7 separate regions of the Mus musculus genome follow, and regions 1, 3, 4, 5, 6 and 7 are each reported to be linked to region 2. The links are microRNA targets in miRTarBase. Many come from high-throughput screens and were not tested one by one. Region 2 holds a microRNA gene; each other region holds the end of a gene's coding sequence.

Region 1 (4,067 bases), not on the chromosome of region 2:
CTCTGGAATGTTGAAGCATCCACTTAGGCTGTGCTCTTAGTTTGCATAATTTTAAGGAAGTAAATTTAAACCTGAGTTCATCATTCCTTTGCACCATGTGTAAAGTTTGATCTGTCAGTCTGTGCGACTCTTGCTTTGGACCTTTTTCTTACTACTTAGTAGAAGAAGGTGGGGAGAACTCTGGAGGTATAGAACTACCCTAGTGCATTAACAATATGCAAGTTACTTGGCTCTTCTCTGTTTAGAAAGCAAAGGGAGAGGAACAGGACTTCCCTGTGGACTTGGAAGACACGATAGCTCCTCGAGCCAAATCTGACCGGGCGAGGAAGCCAATTAAGTACCTGGAGGAGTCCGATGACGATGACGACCTCTTCTGAGGCAGAAGAGATTGTTTTAGGGATGGTTTTACGGAGCCAGGTTAGTTTTAAAGTTCTTCCTCCTCTGAATTTGATTTTTTTTTTTTTTTACTAAGACTATCCAAGTGAGTAGAGCCCGTGTGGCCTTCAGCTTTGCTCTCTGTAACATGCTGTCGAGGTGACCATCTCATGGGCAATTGTCTTCTCTGATTTGTCTGTTTTATGTGTGTTTACTTTGGTCTCTAAAATCTGCCTCAATTTTTTTGGATTTCACAGAATTGTATGCTCACTTTAGCACAATAGTATTTATCTATCATCTATTAAACTACAGTGAAAATGTTTTCAAAAGCACTTCTGCTGCCTCCTTTCCTCTTCCCACAAAATAGGAAGTAACATGGTCCTTGTTTTCAGTTTTATAGGTAGAATTCGGTCATATAGAACTGGTTAGTTCTAGTACAGATACAGTGCTCAACCTCTGACGTGATGCATTTTGTTTAAGCCATGAGAAGTTGCTCGTACCTTTTGAACATCGGAGGCTGGAGAAAGTCACCTTGACTGTGTCTTTATGACTCAGCACAAGCAGCAAGGTGAGGAAAGTTAGGTCAGTTACGTAGAGTACTGACTCTACTCGGGATGCCTTCCCAACACGAGATCCCTGGGAGGAGGCAGGACTGCTCACGGTTACATCTCCAGGATCAACCAGGAAGTGGGATCCATTGCAGATCTCCATAATTCCAACTTGTGACTGCCAAGACCTTCTGTGCTGTTGTCTCTTATTTAAGTGCTGTTATCAATGTCTTTTGTAAATATTTAATATGTCTGTCTGTTCCGCTAATTCCAACTATTTTGTACTTTAATAAATCTTCTAAACAATGCAAGCCATCCATTCCTCTTATTTTAACCCATCTGACATCATCTCCTGTAGTCAGGACTTGTTATAGCCATGGTCTGTCTGCTAAGACGGTCAGCCTTTGGCAGCTGAGGGATCCAAAAGAGAGGCACTGTGACCTAGATGGGTCCAGTGTTACTTACAATCTCACATATGGCTGCTGAGGTGTCCATGTCCTCGGGGAGGTATCAGATTAGGGATGTAGCTCCATTGGTGGAGAGCTTTCTGAGCATGCCTGAGGCCTGTGGAACTAGTACTATAAACCGACCAGGTTAGCCTAAAACTCAGAGGCCCACCAGCCTTTGGGTCCCAAGTGTTGGAATTAAAGTCATGTGCAAGGCCACCTTGGGATACATGAGACTCTTTCTCAAAAAACAAAAACAAAAAAGCATGTATCTTTAAAAAGATGTCTACTTCCATTTTGATAGCTTAGACAACTACTTGTTGGACTCAGTAAAGTTATATTGGAGCAGCCTGCTTGATCCCTCTAAATAAAATGGTGAATCCAATTCCTTTCTTAATATTACACAAAATTCAGTCCAAATACACAGTTTTGTTTTTTGTGCTGGGGATCAAGTCTGGGCCTGGTGTATAGTCTAGGTAGTGTACCAAAGCTACCACCCACCCAAGACTAAATAGTTAAATGTCAAAGATTAGAAACTGTTTCAAGCGGGCTGAGGTGGCTTCCTGGGTAAAGATGGCTGTCAGCAAAGCCTGACCCCTGAGTTGGATCTCCAGGACCCTCGTGGTGAAAGGGCAGAGCTGATGCCCACGAGCTGTCCTTTGGCTATGACACAAGCTAATGTCCTCTTTCCCTCCCCTCCAACACACACATAAGTAGATAAATAAATTTTTTACTTATTGGGGGAAGCGCTGAGGCTATGCTCAGTGGTTAAGAAGCAGCAGATTCAATTCCCTGTACCCACGTGAAGGCTCACCACCATCTAACTCCAGTTCCAGGGAATCTGTCCCCTGGCCTCCTCAGGCAATGTACACATGGGTCACAGACTTACATTCAGACAAAACACCTACACATAAAAAAATCTTAAAAACAGGGCTGGCAGGATGACTCAGCGGTTAAGAGCACTAGACTCAGAGGTTATTGGCACTGACTGCTCTTCTGAAGGTCCTGAGTTCAAATCCCAGCTACCACATGGTGGCTCACAACCATCCATAATGAGATATGACTCCCTCTTCTGGAGTGTCTGAAGATATAGCTACAGTGTACTTACATATAATAAAAATAATAAATCTTTAAAAAAAAAAATCTTTGGGCCAGAGCGAGTAGAGGTCCTTAAAAATTCAATTCCCAACAACCACATGAAGGCTCACAACCATCTGTACAGCTACAGTGTACTCACATACATAAATCTTTTTAAAAAATCTTAAAAACAGCACATGAATCTATCAGTACCACACAGCACTGCTGTACCTCTTGACATGTTAGACCTTGCTGAATGCGAGAAGTTAGTAACTTGACCATTCTTCCTCATGTTGCTAACATTCAAGGACATTTTTAAAAAGAAAAGCTACTTGATAGTTATAGACATTTAGACTCTAATTTTTAGAGAATTTGTTAGCAGTTATTGAGAGAAGAGACTCAAAGCCTGTATTAAGGGACTGAGGAAATGTCTCAGTGGGCAGAGTGCATGCTGAGTTAGGATTCCAGCCCTCCCTGGGGCCTCAGCACTGTCGGGAGAGAGAGACCTGGCTATCCAGGGGACTCACTGGCCAGCCAGTCTAGCTGCCACTGGCTCCAGGTTAGAGAGTTACTGCAGTAGAGAGTAAAAGCCAGGCCGGAGAATGATAAAACGACCCAGCATTGACTTCCGGCCTCTCCACAGGTGTATGTACCCATGGAAACACAGACACATAGAACATACACATCAAAACAAAACTAGTGATAATGAGCTGTTCAGACCTACCCAGATCTAAACCTTCTCACAATTCATTCTGGTTAAACAAGGGCTGGGTGTGGTGGTGTGTGGTCCCAGCACTTTTTTTTTAAAGATTTATTTATTTATTTATTTATTGCCAGGCATGGTGGCGCACGCCTTTGATCCCAGCACTCGGGAGGCAGAGGCAGGCGGATTTCTGAGTTCAAGGCCAGCCTGGTCTACAGAGTGAGTTCCAGGACAGCCAGAGCTATACAGAGAAACCCTGTCTCAAAAAAGCAAACAACAACAACAAAAAAAGATTTATTTATTATTATAAGTACACTGTAGCTGTCTTCAGATGCACCAGAAGGGGCATCAGATCTCATTTCATTACAGGTGGTTGTGAGCCACCATGTGGCTGCTGGGATTTGAACTTAGGGCCTTCTGAAGAGCAGTCAGTGCTCTTAGCCTCTGAGCCATCTCACCAACTCCCAATTTTTTTTTTTAAGATTTTTTAAAATTTCATTTAATGTATATGAGTATACTGTAGCTGTACAGATGGTTGTGAGCCACTATGTGGTTGCTGGGATTTGAACTCATGACCTCTGAAAGAGCAGTCAGTGCTCTTAACCACTGAGCCATTTCACCAGCCCCAGCATCTCAACAGCCCCCCAGCACTTCTTAAGAAGTACCAAGAGGCTGAATCTAGCCTGTCTCAAAAGTAAACAGATAAACAACAGAGCTAGAGGTGGCTCAGCAGTTAAGACTTTAAGTCTCGGGGGCTGGAGAGATGGAGGAAAGAACTGACTCCACAGAAATGTCCTCCGACCTCCACGTTCGCCATGGGGCGTGTATCCCTACCCCACAATAATGATTTGTAAAACTAAGCATTAGGGAGCTGGAGCGCTGGCTTAGTGGTTGGGAGCACTTGTTGCTCTTGCAAAG
Region 2 (4,067 bases):
GGCAGTGGAGGAAGTCTCTTTAAGAAAAGGGTTTAAACAGTTTAAACAGTTTGGGGTATCTCTCTCAATATAAGGATACTCATAAAGTACTGTCATTGTAAATGTAAGAACATAGATGCACATGCAAGAGTATTTTCTGATTCTAAGATCGATTGTAGCTACCTTCACAGGACATTGTTTAGGTGAAGATATAGGGGGAACCTTTCATCTAATTCCTATTTCTCATAGGTGAAAATATTTAAAATTAGGGACATAGCACTATGGAAAATAAGTTTAGTTTCATTTTAATTTTTAAGTGCTTTTTAAATTAAAATATTTTATAATTCTCCCCTTTCGTTTCTTCCCTTCAGCCACTCTAATCAACTAACCCCTTTGTTCTCTCTCTCATTCATGCCCTGCTTAGTCCATATTTTGAAAGTTTTATGTATGTTATTTCAGTGCTGACCATGGAAAAGCAGTTGGTGGGCTCTTCTCTGCTGAGTACTATTTCTCCTGAAAGCTTTTTAGTGTCAATCCCTATACACATTAATGTCAGTGAGACTTAAGTGCGTGTACACATGGTCTCTCAGAGTGAGTAATGTTCAACAAGCTCCTTACTTTGTATACCCTGGACCTTATACTTCGTCTTCAAAGGCATCCTTGAGATTGCTACCATTTTCATCATTTCTCATTTAAAGCCCCACTTTTTTAGACTTAAAAGGTGCTTAAGGTTGTACACATGCCTCAAAATGGTCAGAGAGTGCAATTATAAAAGTAATATGTTTATTATTAATGGATATTTAATATCAGCAAAATGAGATAAAAAATTGGGATCACAACATTCAGAAGGAGAAATGAAAGGTGAAGGATTTTGTCATTTCCTGGACCTGTGAATAAAGAAATCTAGTGTTCACCTATCACACTAGACTACAAGAATTGATGAAGGCTCATGAAAACTAGTATATACTGTATTTATCTTCACAGCATACATCCTCAAGGTGAATTTAGACAGGATCCTCAAATATGATGGTTATTACTACATGGTAGAGAAAAAAAGATGAAGCATCAGTCATACTGATGCAAAGCATGCAACTAGTACTTAACTTTTTGTCCAGGACACTGAAATAGGAGTGGGAGAGGGCAGTATGTTGTGTGCAGTGCTGTGTTCAGACTGGTGTCCATCATGTGAAATATTTGTGAAAGACATCATGCTGAATAGAGTAAGGCCCATGATATTCTTCATTTATTATGCCTTAATTGGTCAGAGTGGTGCAGTGCAGTTACACTTGACATGAATCCCTCATTGTAATTAGTCATATGTAACCCTCAGGATCCATATTTATCCAGAGTATAATTTTAGATGTTCAATTTTTACACAATTATAACATGTAGGTTAAAGAAAAAAATACTTAGAAGAAACTAAACCCACAATCAACAAATGATACATCTTTTATCTATGTAGATTTGAGAATCAACACTGTAAATAGAGACCAGGACATAGTATACAGTGAAGAACTAGAAACTCATAGCCTACTGTAGGAATGTTTTCTAATATATACATATAAACAGAAGTGAGTTTTCATGTTGAGTGGGGCAGAATGATTTGTGTGACATGTAGATGAAGGATCTGGGGCAGAGCATTCTCATTAAAGTTCTTGTATGCAGTGCTGTATTCAGATTGGTGCCTGTCATGTTTATAAGAATGAAAGACACCAAGCTGAGTAGAGTAGGGCTTATTGTGTTCTTCATTGCAGGTGGTATTATGTGGTCAGGGTGTTTTATCTGTAGTTACACAAAATGTAACCAGTCCTAATCTGTTACCTAAGTACAATTTTGATTCCCAGTGTTAACTTTATAGCCGCATATAGATTGGAGAATTAACACAAAGTTTGGCAGTCAACCATATAGTAGGACATAGTATGTTATGTACAAGGAATATTCCCTAAGATAGGAATAAATATGATATATGTTAAGGTTTTATACTCATTAAGGCAGATTGATAAATAGGATACTATTAGGACATGATTGAGGCCCGCCCTACATGCTAAAATTCTATACAGAGCCATATTTGCTTAAACTGTTAACCAGTTCTTCTGTGTGAGTAGAATAAGTCTAACAAGCTGTCTCATTACTTTTAGCATAGTGATTTTTGTATAAGTACAAATATCCTAGCATTTCTGATTATGGTGTTCTTTGACTTTTCTGGGCCCTAGGACACCTTCAGGGTTTTTAATGGTGTTGTTGTCACCTTCATGCTTTTTGTTGTTGTTGTTATTCAAAAATTCACATAGGTCCGATAAAATACAGAAGGAAAATTCAATTTATTTATGTGCTAAAAAACATACTTTTAAGAGCCTAAAGCACAGTCTTTAGAATAATTAGATTGTATGCTTGAGGCCCTAAGTTTGGCACGTGGTCTGGCAAGAATGAAGGAAAGGGTATTAAGCTGAGAGTGATGATCAGTTATTGGTACTCAGAGTTATTCATCTTATTGGAATGCAGGAAGAAGATGTCAAATTATATATGCAAGGTGATGTATAATGAGTTTTGCATTCCCTAGGTGTGTTCAGGGTTCAGGCATCCTTCCTGATGTCATAACTTGTACAAGTGATGAATATTATTAGAGGTTATAGAGTTGATAGAGTCAGCACTTCTACATTTGTTTTGTTTCTTTTTTTCTGAAAATGTTTAAGATATATCCTGACCACAATTTCACATCCCCCATCTTCTCTGAGATCCTCCCCACCTTCACTACCAGATTTCTTTATCTTCCTTTAGAAAAATCAGCAAGATAAATGAGTGAATAAAGAATAATTTAAAATGCCCAAGAAACACATTATACACATAAAGAGAGAGAGAGAGAGAGAGAGAGAGAGAGAGAGAGAGAGAGAGAGAGAGGAGAGACAGAGAATACCTACAAAATATAATTGAGTTCATATTGTGTTGGCTGTATAATTCTTGGCATAGAGCCTACAATTAAATGTGGTTACTATACCCAGTGAGATGAAATTGAAGAAAACAATTTTTCTTTGTAAGTAGCTGTCAATTGGAAATAATTTATTAGTTAATGATGGGAATTCATATCCATTTTCCATGCTCACTCATGGGAACATGTTTGGTTTGAACTTGTTCAGGTCCTGTGTATTCTGTCACAGTCTGGATGAGTTCATATGTGCATCAGTCCTGTTGTATATAGAAGGTCTTGTTTCCTTGATGTTATCCATTACCTCTGGCTCTCATTGTCTTTCAGCTTCATCTTCAGCACAACTCCTTGATCCCCAAGGGAAGGTGTTTGATAAAGACCTCCCACTTAGGAATGATTATTTCATACCCCTTACTCTCTACACATTGTTCCAAGAAAAAGAAGCATATTTGATGATATCTGAGGAAAACACTGATCTATACATACTATAGAATATCATTAGGAGTCATTTTATTGTTATGGTCCTTTACAGAAAAACTGGTTTTCTCTAGGCTCACGGCCTTTCTAGTCTCATGTTTTTGACTGATTGTATAGAATTGGATGTGAATTCTGTCTCATGGAGTGGGCCTTAAGTCCTATTATAAAGAGGTTATGTTCTGCCACAACATTTGTACTACTTTTTCACCAGCATGCCTTGCAGGCATATCTTTGTTATTGGTCATATGGTCTGTAATTGGATTAATGATCATCTTTTTTCTTTGATAACTTGCAGCATAGATTATCTTCAGTTATCAATACTAGTTAGTAGAGGTGAATGCTGTACAGAGACAAATGCTTGATTTCTCCATATTCAGTTTGTGTAGAATAACCAAAAGACTTGGCAATAGCTTAAGTTTGAGGGTTTTCATGGTGTCCTTTTGAGCATTAGCTATCTAGCTATAAAAACAAACTAGCATCCACACATAAAAGAAAACATAACACATTTGCTTTGGAGATCTAGGTTAGTCAATTAGCATATTTTTAGTTCCATTCATTTACCTATGAAGTTCTTCATTTACGTGTGAATAATATTCCATTGTGTAAATGTACAAGTTTTATTATCCATTAATCTGTTATGGACTCCAAGGTAGTTCCAATTTTCTGAATGTTACAAGTAGAGTATCAG
Region 3 (4,054 bases), not on the chromosome of region 2:
TTGCTCAAAAAAGGAAGCAGAGAACCATTAGGGGAGGCATTCAGTGCCAATTTCTGCTCTCTATACTTGCGCGTCCGTACCCACACTTAAACATGCACACACACACACACACACACACACACACACACACACACACACACACACACAGAGTTTGGAAAGTGATGACAGCAATTCAAAATCCTCCTGCGGATCAATTCTGTTACTGTAAAGAATGGTTGAGACGCTCCACTCTCTCGTCCCTGAAGAGCTAATTCAGCTGCCAAGTTCAGGAAGATGGGACCTCTCCTAGGAAGATGTGCCCATCTTAACCCTTGCTAAAAAGATGACCACAAAATTATCCATTTACTGAAATACCATACTTTATCCTTCCTATAATTCCTGTCTCATAGCACCGTCTGTAAGAGCAGCCCTGAGGTTCAACTGGCTCCGCCCACCCTTCTGTGTCCTGTCTCAGAAAGAGACAACTTTCCCGTTCTCCTTTTTTTCCCTCTCTCTTTCTTGCAGATGCTGACCAGAACCTAAGCACTTCTCTCCTGGTACTTTTGGCTTCGTCCTTACTCATTTTCCCCTTGTCTTGTCCATTTTCCCCTCTGGGCGCCTGCTGAGATTTACAGATGTCCTGCCATGGAGTTTCCTTTTAAGCTCCTATCATCCTCAGGCTCCCATTTGAGTCCATTCTTAAATTACTTTATCAATAAGACTAAGAACCCTAAGAAGGAACTCCAATTTCCCAGGCATCATCTGGCCATCATAAAGTGACACCCCAGGATTTTCCAGTAGCAGTTCCATAATCATGGGATTCCCCCTGTCCATCTACAAAGGTAGGAGAAGTGTAAAAAGAATGCCACATGCAATTATGGCCCAGGGTGGAAGTGTTTGATAGCCTCATTACTCATACTCTATTAACCTGACCCTGGTCACGTGGGCCCCAGCTACAAGAGAGGCTGGGAAATGTAGTTTTTCTGCGTAACAAGACAAGGAAAGGTGAAATTGGTGAATATCTGGCCAATCTGACTGACAGTTCAAATCACCTCTACTTAGCCCTTAACCTGCCATCCAATCCCAACAAAATCTGCTTCTACAAATGTGACACCTGGATCAGAACCTACATAATGTCGTCTACCTTGCCCTAAGGACCACATTCCTCTGCTTCTATACTTCCGGGAAGCACATCACATCATGAATGTAGAGAACATACAATTTGCTAATAAGCCAAGCATTCTCCGTCCTGCATAGAGAGCAATGAACTTCAAGAAGAAGCCAGCAGACGCCATGTATAATGGTCAGGAAGTAGCAGATACAATGGGCTGGGCCAACTTGGGGGTGGCAGACAGTGGGAAGCAAGAGGTGACCTCAGAGGGATACCTTTCCTAGCTGAGCAACAGAATGTCAGTTGTGCCCAGGACATCCAGGGATAAGGAGCTGGCACCCTTGTACAGAGCATGCTACCTCAGTAAGCCAGGCCACCAGCTTGCCTATGAGTACCGACTGTATGTCATATGTACTATATCCTAGGATCTCTCTCCACAGCATCCTGAAAAGCCCACAGATTCCATTTGCCCAGCAATGGCTAGAACCAAGCTAGCTCTCACCCTGGGTAAACCACAGTTCCCCTGCAGGCCATCTCTTGTTCTTGTCACTGACTTCTGGAGGTGGTAGCCACCACAGACATGAACACAGACATTTCTCCTGAGAACAGACAAGGCTAGAACAAGGTTTGAGTGGGAATCACAATGTGAAGTGGAAAGTTTTAAAACCGGGTCCTGGAAGGCAGAGCACCAGCAGCCCCTGGGATGGATGCCCAGGAAGGGGTCCCCTCTACTCCTTTGTACCTTAGCCTCAGCGTAAGCTGAGAACCTGCCTTCAGAACCTGCCTTCTCTGAACTTAACGGGGTCTTAGCCTTTTTCTTAAATGGCTCAGCCATCTCCCCATACATTTCTTCCCACTGCAAGCATAACTTGTAACACTGTTACTCCTCAGCTTGTTCAATGCTGAAGTAGAATCCTGCTATTACTATGCCAAAAGCCAAATCTATGAATATCTCCTTTGAAACATGAATCATAAGATTGTTGGCAGCTTTTCCACGATGTCAATAGTATTGTAGTCATCTATTTTTTTTTTTAATTGTCAGGATATCCTCTTTATCAGAGTTCCTGGTGTGGAATTTGTACTGAACAAAAATGATAACTCAAAGAGACCTGGGCCGTGAGGCTTCCAAGCCAAGGTGTATTTGCTGAGTTGTGAGGTCTTGGGTGGAGGACTGGCCCCATTTTTAGTGTCTTCCACAGAACAAGCATGGACCCTGAAAGTGTGAACCCTGCAGGTGTGAATCCTGGCCAGAATAGCAAATAGCAGACACTGGAGGTTCATACTAAAGATTTTCTCTTTACACTTATATTTTATTGGAGTGTAAAATCCATACCATGTGTTCCTTTTTCACAATGAAGGCCCCTTAAAGAACCATACCAGACACACATGTGTAAAGACATGAAACAACATTTAGTAGGCTCAGATCCCACATGAAATGTCACCATGATGTCAGGAATAAATGTGCAATGGGGCCTGGTCAGTGGCTCAGTTTCTGGTTTTGTTGAGAAATTTAGGGTTGGAGGATGTGAAAGATCAGGGCGAGCTCATCTGCCTGAGCTCTGGAGAGGTCTGACTCACCTTTGGGCAATACTGGTAAATATGGCTTCCTTCCCCCTCAAAACGGGGAAAGAGTCAGGCTAGGTGTAGGAGTGAGCTGATGGAAAGTGTGTGTAAGAAATGTCAGGGGTGAATGGGGGTGAGGGACAGTGGGATGTCATGGCTGGAAGAACCCCATCAAACAGCAAATTATGACTGTATGGGGGAAAAAAGCATTTCAAAGATATAACTGTTTTGCTGGTGGTGGTGAGTATGAACCCCAGTGTTTCAGCTAACACTCCACGTGTGGGCTCTCTACCCTTTCTCGATTAGCCCAGGTCACAGTGATGCCTTGGTTGCCCTAGAACTCGCTCTGTAGACCAGGCTGGCCTTAAACTCAAAAATCCAGCTGCCTTTGCCTCCTGAGTGCTGGGATTAAAGGTGTACACCACCACTGCCCTTAGGCTCTGCTCTACAATTAACTGTTCCAGAATTCTCTCTTAACTGAGAGGCAGAAAGATTCCCAGAACAGAGCATAGGGTGGCCAGAAGAAGCCAGGATGAAGGGCAGGTAGAGCAATGCCCCTGGAACTCCTTCCTACCTAGACAAAGGCTGGCATCAGGCAGGGACTGTGCACACAAACAGCACAGCTGGTCACATGTGCACTGTGGTGGCACCCACCAGCTTCCGGATCATCTCAGCATGAACGTCATGGAAAGGCAGCCCATCCACTTCCATGCCCACGATGCCTGAGACACCACTGCGGACTTGGTTCTCTACCAGGATGCCCAACATCTTTTCTTCCTGGGAGGAAATACAGAGATGAGGAGGAGACAGACGACATGTGGGGAGAGGGAGGACAGAATGCGTAAATATCTGTAGAAAAGAAGCTTTGAGCTAGAGATCTCTGTTTCTCTCTGTCTCTTTCTTTCTTTCTTTCTTCCTTCCTTCCCTTCCTTCCTTCCTTCCTTCCTTCCTTCCTTCCTTCTTTCCTTCCTTCCTTCCTTCCTCTCTCTCTCTCTCTCTCTCTCTCTCTCTTTCTTTCTTTCTTTCTTTCTTTCTCCCTCCTCCTTTTTAAAACAGAGCCTCTGTAGCCCTAGTGGTCCTGGAACTTAATATTTAGACCAGGCTGGCCTCACACTCTTAGAGATCCACCTGCCTCTGCCTTTCAAGAGCTAGGCTTAAAGGCATATGGCACCACACCCAGGAATGTGTCTCTTTTTAACAAGTAAAATTTGAGATAAGGCATGGACTCACTGGAAAGCTCCTTATGAAAATCAAAATCGGGCTGGAGAGATGGCTCAGTGGGTAAGAGCACCCGACTGCTCTTCTGAAGGTCAGGAGTTCAAATCCCAGCAACCACATGGTGGCTCACAACCATCTGTAACAAGATCTGACTCCCTCTTCTGGAGTGTCTGAAGACAGCTA
Region 4 (4,055 bases), not on the chromosome of region 2:
TCCAAAAGGAGCTGTGCAAGGGAGTGAGGCATGAGGGAGGAAGGCATCTTAGTATATCAGCCAAATTAGACCTAATTCTTTACTGAGTAATGACAAAGCATACTTATGTGGTGGAAAATAAGGCTCATCTGTAGATTACACTAAATGGTATTTGGAGATGAGAAGACCATGCACCCGGAATAAAAAAGACTCCTGATGTAGGAATTGAAGGATTCATAGCGACCCTGAAGAAGGCTTTTAACCTCACTCAGAGAACTCATAACTCCACTGACCTGTTCTTAAATGGGAAGTTTCACAAAGCATCTCTGACCACTTATGGTGACACCCGTAAGAGTCACGGATAGACTACCCAGGTCAGCCTCTCTGTGCAAGAGTGGATCCTTCGAGCTGGTGAAAGGAAGCCCTGGGGATGAGATCGCTCAATCTGAGTCAAAGGCAGCTGCTACTGCCTGATGCTTCTCTATAAACAAAAGCAATCACTTCCTAGAACAACAGCAGCCCAGTTGTTTACTCTTAGGATGGCAGGACACAATCTTCTGAGAGAAAGAGAAACCCCACAGAAGAGCCATCAATCATTGTCCCAGCCACTGGCGCAAAGCAAAATTAAAAATAAAATAAAATTAAATTAAATTAAAAAGCCCTTTCTGGATCCAAGCAAGAACTGCCTGGGAAGACAATCATCTAGAAGCTTGGCTATCACTCAGAGGATAACTACTTCTCACCTACCTCTGTAGACCAACAGCCTCACCTACCTCACGTTTACTTTTAATCACTATTTTAGTCAATGTAATCTTGGTCAATTCCAAAGCTTAGCTTGGACAAACACAAAAACACATGTGTAAATGTCTACAGATCCATGCCATCTTTTAGGACTCATATGCATGTGAAGGATGAACATTTTGCTAGTCTAAAATCAGGTATCATTCCAAGAACAACCACTGTAATGACCTATAAAGGCTGGTCCTTGAAATGAGGCTGCCATCACACACGTATTCAAGCACAGTATCTATTACTGGAAAGCAGTAAGGAAGACAAGCTTTAGAAACTTCAGACTAAATAAAGTGATGTTCGCAGTGGTAAGAATACACATCTAATGCATATGCTAAGCTATTCCTTATTTATTAGCTCTCTACACTTGACCTACAGCTATTTACACACAGATAGACACATTACGGTATACATTATGTATCTTACTATAAGTCAACAAAAAGGGGGTAAGAGGACTCTAGCATTCCAAATTATTAGGACTCAGCACTAAATAAAAGGGAGAAATTCACATAATACCTCCTATTCACTATGCTATACATACAAGGATGAGGAAGCCCACTTGGCCAATGTGTCAATGTCTGCTAACTTGCATAGGAATGTGTTCAAAGGAAATGTTAATTCCTACAACTTAATCCAAATTTGGACAACCCAATATTCTGTAACTTTCTCAAAGACTGAAAGATTATCTCAAAAAGAATTGTTTAAGAGAAGACAGCCACAAAGCACAGCTATCCATCCAAACACATGGGCAAACTCTGAGTCCACATTTGGAGAACTAACTCAACTTTCCACTCAAGAAAAGGATGGCCCCTATCTACTTGGCTCCAGGTTATAAATCTCAAAATAGAAACTAAGAGAAAAATTGTACAAGGCACTCTAAGTTCTTCAGAAATGCATGCTATTCATACAGAGATGACTTTTTCAATTTCCAGACTCAGTCCCTCAGAAACCCTCCAGAAGATAGGAAGACTGTGTGTGACAATCTGTGATCCCTAACAGCACTGGACTCATGACGTCCATCGCCTGCAAACAAGTCGATGCATTACAAAAAAAAAAAAAAAAAAAAAAAAAAAACTAAGGAAAGGTATTGTTTTGTTTTGGTTATCAGGACTGAGTTTGATTGAAAAGCTATAAAATGATCTATAAAAGTAGTAATTCTCCTTAAGTACAAGGCTTAATAAAAGTCATGCAATTTAAAAAGTTATCGGCCTAAAGAAAGTAGATACAGAATTCGCTTTCTTCATCTCTAATGGAGAAGAGGCAGTGATGAAGACATAGGACTACACACACCATCCCTAGGATTTTTCTCGAATTCCTCCTGCACTATCTTCAATAAGGAGAAACAGCCTACAAAAAAAGATCTGCTGCCCATGAATGTGGCAGTTGGATACCAAGCTAAGCTAAGGTCAATATCAAGAGTCCTCCACAAGTGTGATATCCCCCACAAGCACACTGCTAAACCCTAAAGTCCCTGTTCGTGGCAACCGAGGAACATGCTGGCCATCCTACAGAAAATCTACTCTCATCAACAGTAAGACTGCCGAGTGTTCTATGACTGACAGCCACTTCGTAATGAAACATACTCATGTGCTAACTGACTATAACAGCATAGATGTATATACACAGCAAGCCTTCAAAAAAGACAGAAATAAGGAAGAGAACTTATAAGGAATGGAATTAGACTGTTCCTCTAAAACTTAACAACGTTTCACAAACTAAGCAAGTGCCAACCCCGGCACACAAGTAGTGTTGACGCTCCTCCACGATACTGAACATCTTACAATAGGACCCATTTGGGAAGGCATTTGGCAAATAAGGAATGTTAGTAAAATGACAAAGAAGCAGCTAGAAAGCAGGTAAAAAAAAAAATGATTCATCATCTACTTAGCATTAAATATCAGTCATTGCCTGGTAGCTGATAATTCTCAAACTATATTTTAAAATATTCTTATCTGATCAATAAATGTGGGGATCATCAGCAGTATTTACTTCCCCCCTAATTAAAAGCAAAATTATAGACAGACTTGGTAGTCCGTGGAGTATGATTCAGTTTAAGTAGGAAAAAAGAGAGGGAAGAGATGGAAACCAAGTCTGCTCCCCACGGCTGCTGACATTTCCATACAAGCTGTAGTACAAAAGGACCTGCAGGAAAACGCTCTTCCTTTCTCTTGGCAAGCAGAATCCGTAGACTCGTGCTAATGACCAGCCACACACACAAAGTTGTCCTCAAGTCATTAGTACACAACACATTAGACTTTCAGGACCTAACTAATCATACAGTCTCTACAAATTCATTTTTTAACTGTAGCAGGGATTAGAGACAAAAGCCTTTATAAATGAGCAAATTTCCTTCAGCAGAGGGTCTACCAAGCCTTGGCAATGTAGACAAGACACTTTACTCACGATACCTTAGCACATGTTCTGTCCTAAGTGATACATGAGAATAATTGGTCTCTCCTTACTTTGGTACAGAAAACTCTCAAACCACATTTTTTGCACAATTCACTCTGCTCTGTTTCATGTAAGTTGAAGATTTACGTTTTCCCCATCTCTGGGAAAACAGTCTTACAAATAGATGATTTTTCTGCTAAGGAGAATTTGGCTAAAACCTTCAGCGTAAACAATGCCTGGGAGGTGCGACAGTTACATTTTTGTTTTCAAAGACCAGTATTTTCTCTTAAGTGTCTCACCGTATCCTTAAGTTCATAAGGAGAAATAAACAAACATGAAAATTCCAAGTGAACACACAGCAAAAAGTCCAATGTTTAGGATCACTTTAACTTGTGGAGTCTCTTCTAACATTTGTAAACACACAGCCTCCTCATCCATCAAGTCTCTGAGGCTCCTCTTGCTAAGGCTTTTACTCTTAAAGCCACAAAACCAGTCTATGAACTTCCAATACCGGCTTCTATTTTCCGTTTCCTTCTCTCTTTCTCTCTCACCCATGAGAGCTGCTTGCCCATTGGAATAAGCATCTACTGGTGTTTCTGCCTCTGAATGACCCATGGAAGCCACTGGGTTGCCCTCTTCTCGGCATGTCACCAGCAGATTAACGTCTTCAGGTTGCAGTCCCTTAATGCTGTCTTCAGACTTCCCGTTGGGAATAGTATGGCTGATGACTTCGCTATTCTCGCTGCACTGCAGGATGCTCTTCTCTTGCATTTTGTATGGTTCGTCTTTCTGAGAACAGCTCTCCTTTGTCACCAGGGTCTTCTTTGACCAAAAGGTAGTGGTACGAATCTGATCCTTTGTGGGAGGTGGTGTGAGAAGACTAACAATCACAGTAA
Region 5 (4,062 bases), not on the chromosome of region 2:
TGTGTGTGTGTGTACTTCTTAAACGTTACATTTAGGATTAGTCATTCCTCTTTATTATAGTTCTGTTTATTATTATGTTTTCTTAAACATTCCGTATACATTCAAGTTCCTTACTAAAGTTTATATATAGTTTTAGTAAAAGTGTCAAGTTGTTAGCATGAATGATTTATTTCCTGTATTTTTAGTTTTTAAAATTTTATAGTTGCTGTATAATAATCTGTATTTTCTTAAATTACTTTTTCTATTGAAGGTTTACATGCTTTTGAGGTTTACATGAGGTAACTGGCTTTTTTTTTAAAAGATAAGCTTCCAAAATTAACAATTTGTTATTTTTTTTCTAGTTTTAAAACGTTTTATTCTTTAGAATTTTGTTAGTTCACATGCATGGTATAGTCAAACTTAACTGATGAAGGGAAGCCTTACTAAATATATTAGTAAAGTACTGGTTATAAAGAGTGCTTAACTACTTATATTAAAACTGTCACTTTTTAAACTGTGACAAATATTATGTCTGTGGCTGACTTTATGGTAATGCATATCATCTGTTGTCCCCACTTAATATAATAGAATATTTATTTATTTATAATGCTGATCACATTTGTATATACTTTTATTTTAGAAGTTCCATTGAATAAGTTATGTTTTGACTTGTAAGATATTTTTTATATTATAAAGTTTAATACATTGTAAAATGATGATTGTATATCTTGGGTTAAGAAGGTCTCTGACGATGACCCTGTCTTTCTTGCCACAGTAAATCAAGAGGAATTCATTGCTATTATGACTGGTGACATATAAAGAATCAACACCAAAATGTTACTTTTACCATCTATCTTCTCTTTGTGTGCCTGGAGTCCAGTTTAAGAAAACGAAACAAAACAAACGTAGTTCTTTTTCTGAAAGGAACAAAACCAAGCATCCTTTGTATGTATATTTCAGCATTGTTAAGTTTATGTCATCAATGTAGTAGTTGACTTCACATTTATAATACATGTTTATATAAAGTTTTAAAACATCAAATCATGTGGTGTATGTTATTTGGAGTCTTCTAAATTTAGGACTAGCTAATTGCTTTTATTTTCATGCACATGTTTTTTTTTTGACATTCATTAATAAAATACTTATTTTATTAGTATGTTAATGTTTGGTAAATTTTTTATTTCAGATTTCTGATATCTATTAACAATAGAAGATTTTTAAAAATCTTTTGTCTTTACACTTTCACTTGTATTTGAAAATAAATCAGAAAAACCAAATGACAATAGTCTGGAACATTTGTTCATCACTCAGGGTCATCAACCTTGACAGTTTGCATTTCAGTGCAGGACAGTTCAGTGTAGGTCTAGTTCCTTCCTAAGCGTACAGTCCTGCAGTTTGGAGGGACTACGCACTCTGCATATCGCCGTGTATATCTTTGCTGTGTAATGTATTGTCGAAATCTGTGTTTTGTAATGGCAAATTGAGGGTGAACATTGCTTCATTATACTTTTTGAATACAGTTGTAATCATTTAACTGCTTGGCAAAGTGAAAGATTCAAACTTTGGATTTTCATGCGCTAGAGAAAATGGAAGCCATAGAAAACACTTAAGGGTTAGGTTTATCCATGATGTATCAAGAAACAGTGGTGATAGAATCTCCAGGTGTTAGTGGGCAATTCTGCCTAACTGCAGTTTAGGGCAAAAAAAAGATTATGGGAGATAGGTCACAGAAATGGTAGTCTATCACATCTTCAGTATTCAGTTCTGATGATAGGAGCTCTCCTAAGGGAAAGTGAGCTATAGAGTGAGTGTTAATTTAAGGAACTGTTCTTTAAATTATAAAAACAAACAAGCAAGCAAAAGCAAGACAAACAATACAATTAGAGGTAGTTGAAATACTTTGAGTCTGTTAAAGTAGTTTCAAAAAGTAAAGTCAGGGCTTTGTTTTATCTGATGTATTTGTGAGAGTTGCCCCAATGAGGAACACTCAAAATATTAAGTGTAATTAGTTATTAGGTAACTATATATAAAAATCTAAGTTGCTTTTTTATTAGAACTTTAGAAATTATAAATTTTATGCTGAGAATACACAAACATTTCTCAGTATGCAGTGATTTTTAGGAATATGACCTTTTATAGAACTGAAGATCAGCAGGTTACCTTCATTTTATACTTAATTAACAATATTTTAGAATAGACTTTCTTTATTCCATAATAAAAGAAATCAGGGATACTTAATAGAATCCCTGGAGTTCGACATTTCTGATTTTAATATGCTTGTAACATTTGACCAACATACCACTGTGTTCTCTAAAAAAAGCGACCATTTTCTCTGTGTGGCATTACCATAGACGGCCTATCCCCAGGGTCTTCCGAAAGGTCCATGCAAACCTGACTGCAAGGAAACGTGCGCACTGTAGAACGTGAACTCCCGTGACCTAGCGGTGAGAGCCTACTGATAGATGGCTCTTTAGAATAAAAACCACTCAGTGTACATCAACTAAATGCTGAGTGATAAAAATATTTCCAAATCATGTTTTCTACCATTGAAAGCACCTCAGATTTAACAGCAGGGTAAAGGTTTGGGGTTGGCCTACTGAGGAGTAATCTTTTATTGTAAAATGCGCATTTTGATTATTCTCAAAGTTCATGCATTTAAAGTCTCTGCCAAACAGGTAGATGCAACCATATTTTAAGCAAGATCTATATTTCCTTTTTCATTTTCTTTGAAGATTATGTGTTCAATTAAATCTCAGTAACTGGCCCAGACGATAATTTATGGGAGATTTCTTCTCTAGCTGTCTTGCTGGGCGATAATTGTTATGAATCTAAATCCCAAGGGATAGTAGGATAATTTTCAACAGTGGCAATAAAAACAAAGTAACTCCCTCAAAACTAGTTGGGGAAAAGAGGAAAGATTTGTATTTTAAGAATTCAAATCTAATTGGCTTCACCACTGTGCCAAAAATTAAAAGAAAAAAATTAAACTAGAAAGTTAAAAGATATCATTTGGGGAAAAAAAATAAATGTAAAAATGTGAGCTACAAAAACATGAAAATATAAGCTGTTACAATTAGAGTTATTCTGTAGTTTAAATTATTGGTCCATGGGCCTAACTGCCTGTAATTCTGTAATTATTTGGCCTTGGAAAGTCTGTGATCTTTAGGGCCTCTCAGGACCTTTTAAATACACACCAGAATAGCTAGGGTATTGTCTAGAGGGGAATTATTATCATTATTTTCTTTTAACACTAAGGGTCAGACCCAGCCCCTGGTGCACACGAGGCAGGCGCTCTCCCACTCAGCTATCAATGAGGGTCTATACAGTGGGAACTGGTGGAAGACCTAGGGAAATACTAAGCCTGCTGGGACTCTGATGGCAGCAAAAGGACTGCCAAGTCATCACTGGCCCGTGGGCTCAAGTGATTTGCATCTGACCTTGGATGTCTCAGGTTCCTGGTGCACTTGAGGTAAGAAGTTTAATTTCTTTGAGTACTCATCTTTAGTAAGTTTAATGTTCATTCGTTTGGAGAAGGTACAGTCTGAGGAACCTCTAGACATGCTATCAACAGCTGGTTGAAGTAAACTTGAAATTTATGATTTGTATATCTAGCTACTTGGGTAGTTATTAAGAGCCAGAGGCTTTGTTTATTTTTCAAGTGGCATGTGCCTCTTGCTTTCTACAGTCTAATAGGGTCTGCACTTTTAAAAGAATAATTCAGATAAAAAAAAAGCAAACTTTTTATAATTTACTTTCCATTTTATAATTTATACATTTTTTTCAAAAATAAATTAGTGGAAGATGCCACAAATATATTACTAAATTAAAAACAAATTGCCAACAAGAATGAGAAGAATAAATACAGACAACTGTAGTTATTTAAGGTCAGGTAAAGGAATCTTGAGACTAACAATTAGACAATAGAGACCTACAGATTCCAGATCCAGAATCAAACTAGGATTTCAGAGGTCTCATCTCTCCTTAATGCTGCTATGTGATATCTCCAGCCCTTCTTTTGCCTATTTGCTTTGATATATGGTTAATTAACTTGTATAAGGATTTCTGCTTATAGAAAAGGGAAAA
Region 6 (4,067 bases), not on the chromosome of region 2:
GCTCCCATCTGTCTCTGGCCTCTGCTGAGCTGGGTAGTGGCAAAGCTGAGGGAGACTGACCTCCAAGCCCAGCTCAGTGTCTCCAGGCCTGCCTTCTATATGGTAGGTGCCTTGTTTGCCACTTCCTGGGCCAGGCTAGCTGACCCAAGAGCCTCCGGGACTTCCTGTCACTACAGGAGCACTGGGGTTACTGCAGAGCTGCCACGCGCAGCCTCACGAGGTTTCTAGACATTTGAACTCAGGTCTTGCTCGCTTTACCCACTAAGCTATTCTCTCTAGCTCCCTAAGTAGCTTAGCAAGAGGGGTCCCACTATGTAAAGTCCTTGCTTTCTTCTGTGCTGCCTGCTAGAGGTGGGAGGGGCAGCGGATCTCTTCCACTGGCTGTGTAGGGCATGGGCTGTGTATCCAGCAGAGATTCCTGTCAGCTTTCTTCATTAGCTTCCACTTAGCTTAGCACAAAGGCTTTCCCACATCTTTAAAAGGCATGAGCATTGTTATAATAAAACACTTGCCCTATACCCAAAGCCTCTCCACGAGTGTGCACACATAGACATCAAACTGGTTCTTTCCTTGTCCAGGGATCGAACTTGGGTTATCCATCAGTCTTGACAGCAAGTGCCTTTTCCCACCGAGGCAGCCCAAGTTCTGGCTTCTAAGTTTGTCTTTCTGCATATAGAAGCACTTTTCTGGGTAACAGGGTTTCAGTAGAAATAAGATCAGGCTTTCTGTCTGTCACTCTCTCACTCCCACTGCCTCTGTAGAAAGCAGTAATTTACAGCCTAGGACTTGCCCTGTGTTCATCAGCCCAGCGACCATGGGGATGGTAACCTTTTAGGGTTGGGGCTTCTGTCTTGTTCTCTCCAGCTGTGCGCCACTCTGTTTTCACAATGCTGTCTCATCTGGCCAGGTAAGGTCACTAGTAGATTACTTCAGTAATGTCACGATGGATATTTGAAATTTCCTGGGCCTCTGGAGAATGGCTTCCTGACACCACTGTGGTGTTCTGACTGGATTGGGGATGGGACACCTGAGAATCTCGAACTGACACTGTGAGGCGCTCCACCTTTACCACAGTCATGTGACTCTGGCGTCCTTATTTCGATTGAACAAGAAAAAGGGAGTCCACAAAGATTCATCATCCCCTTCTTGTAGAATCGCATTTGTGGGACTCCAATGACAAATATAACCGAGCCCAGGGTAGGAGAGCAGAACTGTTTCAGAATTTGCTTTGTCTCCCTGACTGAGACCTAGAGGCCCCTCAGATGTCCCAGGGCCACACACCCTTACCAGCCTCACCTCAGATGTATCCTTGACTCCCTTCTTCGAGCACACTGCTGGGAGAGTGGTTACTGTGTTAATGTGAGTGTTCCCAGCTAGTGTGGCCGTGCTAGGCTAAGCTCCAGTTTCTCATGCATATTGGGGAATATTACTTAGTAGCCTTCTAAAAGGAAGGAAAGACACTGTAAATTTCTGTGGGATTTCACAATGGATGTGATGGAATGAGCGAACTGCGGGCAGTCAGGAACATGACCATTTCCTGTCCCTAGGTTATTCGCAGGTGTCCTCCCGAGGATGGCAGCAATCAGCATGGGCGGCTTCATCTTTCTGGGCGCCTATGACCAGGCGCGAAGCTTGCTGTTAGAGGTGGGCAGGAAGAGCCCATGAAGCAGACACTACATGTCCTTGCAGTCCTTCCTGTGCCTGGGGCTCCAGTGTGGCTCCCTGAAGATGGCTGCAGAGAGCAGCTTAATGAAGGCCAAAGCACAGGCTGCCCCAGGAAACTTTTCTTGGTGAAACTGGGGCCACCGTCTCAGTCCTCTCAATAAATACTCCCGGTAAGGCCAAGGCCAGGCCCTTCAGAATGCTTTTTATTAGCATCCTGTGCTTTCTGCTGTCTGTTGGAGTCACCAGGAAAGCAAACTGGCTACAACTGCAGTGAATGACCAGACTGGGAAAAGGAAGGGGGCAAGAACCGTGCGTGTGGCTGTTTCTCCCCTGGGCGGGTGCCTATTGTGTAAGATTATAGCTTTGTTTAAAAAGCATGAGCTACAGGTGCATAGCATGCATTCTTTCTGGTGAGGATGCTGTTTTTAATTACCTTGTATTTCTCCTATAAAAACACATGATTATATTACTTTACAGCAAAGTGCCCCAAAGTCCCTGGAGTGTGTGACAGACAGCAGACAGCTGCAGCGCCAGTGAGTGGGTGGGCCCAAGTGACTTCAGTTAGGAACATGTTGAGGGAAGCAAAGCCCATGCCCACCACTGTCCGTCCCTGGAGGCCAGCTGGAGCAGCTCCTTTGTCCTCATGGTATATGCCAGCAGGAGGTGGGAGGGTCAGCATACTTGGGGAGCATAAGGCTTGACTAACCAACTCCATGTGGAAAAAAAAAAGCTATCTGAGGAATGCAGTGCCACTGTCTTTCTGGGGCAACAGTGTGTAGTCTATGCTGCTTCGTCTAAGTATTCTCCTTTTGGAGAAACATTAATAGCAGAATAAAAGAGCAGTGACCGCCGCACACACTTAGTATTTATAAATGAACCTTTATTAAAGACACTTTATGCCATTTGTTAGACACTTCAATATTTTACATGTTTTCAATGTACACTGTACCAAAATTTCTATAAATAAATAACTCTGTACATAAAAAGTAATACTTCCTCTTTCACATTGCCTCTCAGAAGCAGCAAATTCACATATTTTGTGGAAGTAACATTAACCATCAACTATGGAGACTAGCCTTCTCAGCGTGCTTGCTCTGGCACAGTGATGGCCTATGACACTACACGGTGACACAGGCCATCACTGTGCCAACACTTCCCCTCAACTCCTGGGGTTTTAAGGACTGAGTTTGTGTTTCCATGTAGTCTTTACTGCATTATACATTGGCACTCACAAGATGGCTAGCAACAGGGCCCCAAAGTGCAAATACACCCAGGTCTAGGACTCAAGTCTTGTACAGTCCAAGCCCAGTCTCACCGGTAAGGAACAGCGTGGACAGGCCTGCTCAGCAGAACTTAGCGGGCCCTGGAGGCAGAGCTAACCCTCACTATTGGAAAATCCACAGGTACCAACACTGGCAGCCTCCGCCTCACTAAGCTTCAAAGAACCACTGAAGGAGACAAGACATTTGCTTTTACCAAGTGAGTTACAAAGAAAGACGAAAGGCAGTGCTTAATTGTTCTGAGCCATTGCATTTGGTGGATTAACAGCTCTCAATCTCGTCCTCAACTACAGACCCGTGCACCCTGCTCTACAGTGAGGCTGCCAACACCACGCCTGCATAGGTCTGGCCAGTGCACTCGAATCTGACCACTAAGTGCCACACAGCCAAGATGCCCTCCTTTCCAACCGCCAGCAACAGCTGATGTGTTTACCTGAATTCCAGCTGTGCATTAAGGCACCAGAACGATTCCTGACCCTCTCCAAAATTAGACAGCAACCTAATGTGAAAATATCACCAAAAGCGGGACCCATGCGCTAAGGATTAAAATAGTCTCTGTAAAAGATATATAATATATATGAAATCTCTGAAAACTCTTATGTACAGTGGTATCAAATACTTTTTCCTGCCTTTTGTACACAAATAGTCTCTCACGTTTCTGAGCTCCAGATGCCACTCCTCTAGCCGACTGACTGACATTCCACACGGAAGTCGGACTGTCCGGAGTGACGTCTGGACACAAGCTTTCCACGGCCTCTCCTACCTCTTTCCTGTAGCGACTGCTTTAAAAGAGCTGAGGTAGATGAAGCCTAGCTTCTCGGTGCCAATAGCAGTGGTCCCCTCCGTTTCCCAGTGATCTGCCCTTTCAGTGGCACAGATTCAGGGCTGGAGTCACAGGCCTTGGGGAGGTGGCCATTGGAAACAAGCAAGTGCTGGGCTTCAGTAGATATGGCGTCTTCCATGAGCTCTGGGCTGCCTGAAGCTAACGTAGGAGAAGGCTTTAGGTCTATGCAGTCTGCTTCATGTAACTTTGCTAAAGTCCAAGAGGAATCTCCTGTTTAAAAAAAAAAAAAAAAAAAGAGGCAGCTCAGCCTATGCACCGTAACCAAAGGGCTCCCAGCA
Region 7 (4,067 bases), not on the chromosome of region 2:
GTTCCCACCCGGAGTGCTGGAGACTCGGAGCGTCGCGTGGACGGGAACCTGTGGAAACTCGACAGTAGCCCCGAGGCGCGGCCCACCGAGTAGTGGTGGGGTCCCGCCGCGGGCTTGTACCACGCGAGGGCTGGCGGCAGGAGCAGCGCCAGGGCAGCGGCCACCAGCGTCCTACACCGGGCCATGGAGCTGTGACAGGGGCAGGCAGAATGTAGCGACTGAAGTCTGTGAACCAGGCTTTATATTTACAATGGGGGCGGGGGACAGAGGCAGGGAGGGGGATGAGGAGGAGCGGGCGACAGAAAGGAGTGGCGCACAGACTGCAAGTGGTAAATCAGTGGGATCTCACACCCTGCGAGATGGGGCAGAGGGCCCGTTCCTCCCTCAAGTGGAACTGTCCTTTTACTGACCAGATGTATCAACTTCCAAGGGTGGAATGTGGAACTGTCTTAGGGCACTATTACTGTGATGAAACACCATGATCAAAAGTGACTTGGGGAGGAAAGGGTTTATTTGGTTTACATATCCTGAGTCACAGTCCGCTGTAGAAAGCCAAGGCAGGAACTCCAATGGGACCGAGGTGGAAGCTGATGCAGGGGCCATGGAGGGGTGCTGCTTACTCTCAGGGCTTCCTCAGCCTGCTTTTTTACCGAACCAGGATCACCAGCCCAGGGATAGCACCACTCAAAATCTGCTGGGCCCTCCCTCATCATTCGCTAATTGATTTTTCCAAGCTGGAGAGATGGCTCAACAGTTAAAAGCACTAACTGCTGTTCCAGAGGACACAGGTTGGATTCCCAGTACCATGCGCAGGTGGCTCACAGGGCAGTTCACATCTGTCTGGAACTCTAGTTCCAGGGGTCAGATGCCTTCTTCTGGCCTCTATAGGCACTGGGAGAATGCATGTATGCACAGAAACGCTTGCAGGCAAAACATCCACACACATAAAATGTAAAGACATTATAAAGAGGAAGAAAGAAAATGTCCTACAGGCCTGCCCTCAGCCTGATCTTACGGAGGCATTTTCCCAACTGAGGATCACGCCTCTCAGAGGACTCTAGTTCACATCAAGTTAACATAACATCAGCCACCACAGGGGCCTTGCTTATTCTTTGGTCCTGTCTAGGCTCACCAACAGGGTCTCACTCTATAACCTATATTGGCCTCGAACTTGGAGAAAATAACTCATCTTGCCAATGCAACAAGGTTGGAGTTGTTTTGGTGTGGTGCTCACGGTGGAAGACTCTGATGCTGGGCTTGCCCTTTCTGAGGAGAAGTGTTGCGCTCAGGCTCCAACCTTCAGAAAAGCCTGGGCAAGCAACTCTGGACCCTAGGGGCAAGTAACTGCCCTGCCCACGCTACACCAGTGGGTATGGCCTAGGAACCGTCCCCACCTGTACTTAGCAAACAGTGACTCGAATACTGGACACAGGAGGGTAACATGTAAGAGACTTGTGGTATGTGCAGGAGCCAGAACATGAATAGGACTGTGTCTGGCCACCCAGGGCAGGCACAGGTGGATTAGAGCAGAGAGAGCTTCCTGAGGTCAGTGGTGTAGGCTTCCTCCTCCAAGGCCTCCTGCTCCCACATGGAAAAGGGGCTTAGGCTGAGCACAAGCTGCAGTGCTCGGTACATTGCTGTCCTGACTTTTCTGGAGAAAGCTGGTGGAAGAACAATGGAGTAGGAAGGGGAGGAGCCAGGGGTCCCATTTGCAAGCAGCCCAAGGTTAGTTATGGCTTTCTCATCTCTAGAGAGCGGACATGCTACATGGGTGGAGTTGACCCTGAGGAAAGGCTGCTGACACCGTGAGACAACACACCAGGAAGAACCTCAGTGGTAAGTGAAGGCCATGAAGGATTCTGAGGTTAGCCCGGGAACAGAAGCACTCAGGAGCACTGCCAACTGCACAGGAAGTTGTTTCAGAGAGGATGGCCCGGAATGAAGTCCCAGAGAATGTTCCTAGAAGAGGCATGGAGGACCCTCCAAGAAAATGAGCAGACTGGAGATGGAAGGCACAAGCTGAACAAGCCAGGGTACACCATACCTGTCAGCTCAAGGACTTCCAAATCCACCAATCCTGGCTCCCCTCTGCAGCTCTTGGGGGTCCTTACCCCTGAAATGGCCCTCTTCACTCCTGATAGCTGTGCCAGTTCCAGGATTAGCATGCTAGAGATAGCCAAGTGGTATGAAATTCTAGTCTCCCAGAAGCACAAGTCTGCTTCAAATAGGAGGACTTCAGTGATACCACACACAGTGGGCAACAAGTCTCAGAGCCAACAAACATGTAGATGATCCAGATTGCTTGGAACCAGCCCCTAGTAGTCTACTTCCCCGGCTGTGGAGCACACAGGGAGTGCAGAGGTGTTACTGGGAAGAGTCAGAGAGTGAGGACAAGGTGGTAAGTTGGCCAGAACTCCTAGATGCCAGCCTAAATTGGTTTCTACCCAGGAGCTTAACACATCAGGGCTGGGCTACTGTTTTCCTGATAACTGGTAATCCCTAGCTCTAGGGAATAATAATAGTTTCCAAATGGCCTTCCTTCCCTAAGACACCAGAGGACCCACATCCTCCTACACTATATCTGCCTTCATCCAAGGAAGACACAAGAGACTGAAAAGCTTGCTGCAGTTGTCCCCGAAGATTATCTGGACATGAATGACCACTGCCTGCTTAGCTATTTCTTCCTCCAACCAAATAGCTCTGGAAGAGCAGCTGCCAGCTTTGCTCAGCTAGGGCTGGGGATGGGACGAGATCTCGGGACTCCCAGTAGACTAGGGCAGCTGATGGGCTACGTGCACCCTGCCTGTCTCCTTGACACAAACACACCCTAAGGTCTTTGCCCAGCTTGGCTCTGCCTGAATCTCTCCTCCTCCTCCTGTCTGAGCTGTGACTCAGATTACGATGAAGGTTTTGGCCATTATTTCATCAAGCTGTTTATTGGAGTTTTCATAGCAAAACATGCTGCTAGCAGCATCAGTATGTCAAGAAACCAGGCAAGCAGAGGCCTCCAGCACGGCTCGGAACTGTAATGAGTTTTACTTATTGAATAAAGTGTCAATGTGATGGGAAAACAAAACAGTCAGCAAAGCTCCTTTCAACCTTGTCCCAGCCAAACAGAAAGCATCCTTGTCCCCGGCACAGACCGAGATCTCTGGGCACCACTGTGCTGTGTGGAGGGGACTTGGGGTGCTGTATCTGGGGGAGGGGAGGGAGGGAAGGGGCTGAGCCTGGCACAGCACAGGAGAGGGAAGTGGCACGGCACGGGCTTCACTCTTTGAACTTCCACTCCTGGCGACACATGGGGCAGTGCTGCTGCACCTGCTGCGCATTCAGCCACTTGAGGATGCAGTGCATGTGGAAGCAGTGGGAGCACTGTCCCCACACGAGGGGGCAGTCATCACCAGGCACCTTACCTGCAAGAAGGAGAGACTGGCCTTAGGTAAAGAACCAGATAAAACACACAGAGCATGTGACAAGCCAGGCAGGCACCTCTGGGACATTAGTCAACAGCTCTAATCACTGGCAGAGAGCCTCTCATTCTCAGAGGAGACAAAAAGTAGGGCTGTGACCCAAATCATCCCCAGACATGGCCCACGGCATTACAGATCTGCAGTGACTCCCTCTATAGCAAGTGAAGTGTCCTCAGAGGGGAGAGGCCTGGCCCACTAGGTTCTGGTCCCTTTCTCACACCTTTCTGTGAAAAACTGACCCGTAATACCAACGACTCACAGCCTGAGTGGAGAACTCTTTGTCTTCATTACAGGCATCCTGAAACCTGGAAAGTCTCTTCCCTGGACATCAGAGATCTACTGCACTATGGATCTTGGGGACACTGGTGTTTATGGGACAGTTACTAATAGAGGACTTATCAGCACCTGTTACCTTCTTCATCTGAAACCTCAACTCCAAAGAGCACTGACTGCTCTTTCGGAAGTCTTGAGTTAAAATCCCAGCAACCACATGGTGGCTCACAACCATCCATAATGAGAAACAAAATAAAGAACCTATGGGCCGGAGTGAACATGGGGGGGCCAGAGCAAGTGGGACCTGGAGCAAGTGGGGGCCGG

Evidence for each region. Region 2 holds the annotated microRNA mmu-miR-743a-3p (GAAAGACACCAAGCUGAGUAGA, at 1,684-1,705, shown strand). A microRNA usually pairs through its seed, bases 2 to 8, with sites in the 3' UTR of a target mRNA and lowers its output. Matches are read on the target gene's strand: a 7mer-m8 pairs with bases 2 to 8, a 7mer-A1 pairs with bases 2 to 7 and ends in A, and an 8mer does both.
Region 1: the mRNA of Top2a is a reported target of mmu-miR-743a-3p. Seed matches in the 3' UTR shown: 8mer at 915-922 and 7mer-m8 at 1,151-1,157.
Region 3: the mRNA of Dglucy is a reported target of mmu-miR-743a-3p. Seed matches in the 3' UTR shown: 8mer at 2,482-2,489.
Region 4: the mRNA of Slc5a3 is a reported target of mmu-miR-743a-3p. Seed matches in the 3' UTR shown: 7mer-m8 at 2,407-2,413.
Region 5: miRTarBase lists Cetn3 as a target of mmu-miR-743a-3p. Seed matches in the 3' UTR shown: 8mer at 1,209-1,216.
Region 6: miRTarBase lists Lrig1 as a target of mmu-miR-743a-3p. Seed matches in the 3' UTR shown: 8mer at 2,550-2,557.
Region 7: the mRNA of Anapc11 is a reported target of mmu-miR-743a-3p. Seed matches in the 3' UTR shown: 8mer at 953-960.

What each region holds. Positions count from the first base shown.
Region 1 is chr11:98,990,114-98,994,180 of GRCm38, reverse strand. It overlaps Top2a (topoisomerase (DNA) II alpha), which reads left to right. Exons shown (of 36, transcript NM_011623.2): 35 at 246-417; 36 at 768-1,234. The coding sequence ends at 377. Among named protein-coding and RNA genes, the nearest start is that of Gjd3, 9.1 kb to the right of the region's middle.
Region 2 is chrX:66,774,398-66,778,464 of GRCm38, reverse strand. It overlaps Mir743 (microRNA 743), which reads left to right and starts at 1,647; the gene lies at 1,647-1,708. It overlaps Mir743b (microRNA 743b), which reads left to right and starts at 1,133; the gene lies at 1,133-1,209. It also overlaps the pseudogene Gm14681.
Region 3 is chr12:100,870,680-100,874,733 of GRCm38, reverse strand. It overlaps Dglucy (D-glutamate cyclase), which reads right to left. Exons shown (of 13, transcript NM_145448.5): 13 at 2,124-3,430. The coding sequence ends at 3,281. Among named protein-coding and RNA genes, the nearest start is that of Gm36572, 21 kb to the left of the region's middle.
Region 4 is chr16:92,078,630-92,082,684 of GRCm38, reverse strand. It overlaps Slc5a3 (solute carrier family 5 (inositol transporters), member 3), which reads right to left. Exons shown (of 2, transcript NM_017391.3): 2 at 1-4,055. The coding sequence ends at 3,472. All of the region lies in intron 1 of Mrps6 (mitochondrial ribosomal protein S6), which reads right to left. Among named protein-coding and RNA genes, the nearest start is that of Mrps6, 22 kb to the right of the region's middle.
Region 5 is chr13:81,795,900-81,799,961 of GRCm38, forward strand. Cetn3 (centrin 3) reads left to right here. Exons shown (of 5, transcript NM_007684.4): 5 at 755-1,256. The coding sequence ends at 798. Among named protein-coding and RNA genes, the nearest start is that of Cetn3, 15 kb to the left of the region's middle.
Region 6 is chr6:94,602,005-94,606,071 of GRCm38, forward strand. It overlaps Lrig1 (leucine-rich repeats and immunoglobulin-like domains 1), which reads right to left. Exons shown (of 19, transcript NM_008377.2): 19 at 2,525-3,999. The coding sequence ends at 3,755. It overlaps Slc25a26 (solute carrier family 25 (mitochondrial carrier, phosphate carrier), member 26), which reads left to right. Exons shown (of 10, transcript NM_026255.5): 10 at 1,548-2,651. The coding sequence ends at 1,665. Among named protein-coding and RNA genes, the nearest start is that of Mir7041, 2.4 kb to the right of the region's middle.
Region 7 is chr11:120,604,627-120,608,693 of GRCm38, reverse strand. It overlaps Anapc11 (anaphase promoting complex subunit 11), which reads right to left. Exons shown (of 3, transcript NM_001038230.2): 3 at 496-3,413. The coding sequence ends at 3,268. Npb (neuropeptide B) reads right to left here and starts at 217. Exons shown (of 2, transcript NM_153288.3): 1 at 1-217. The coding sequence starts at 185.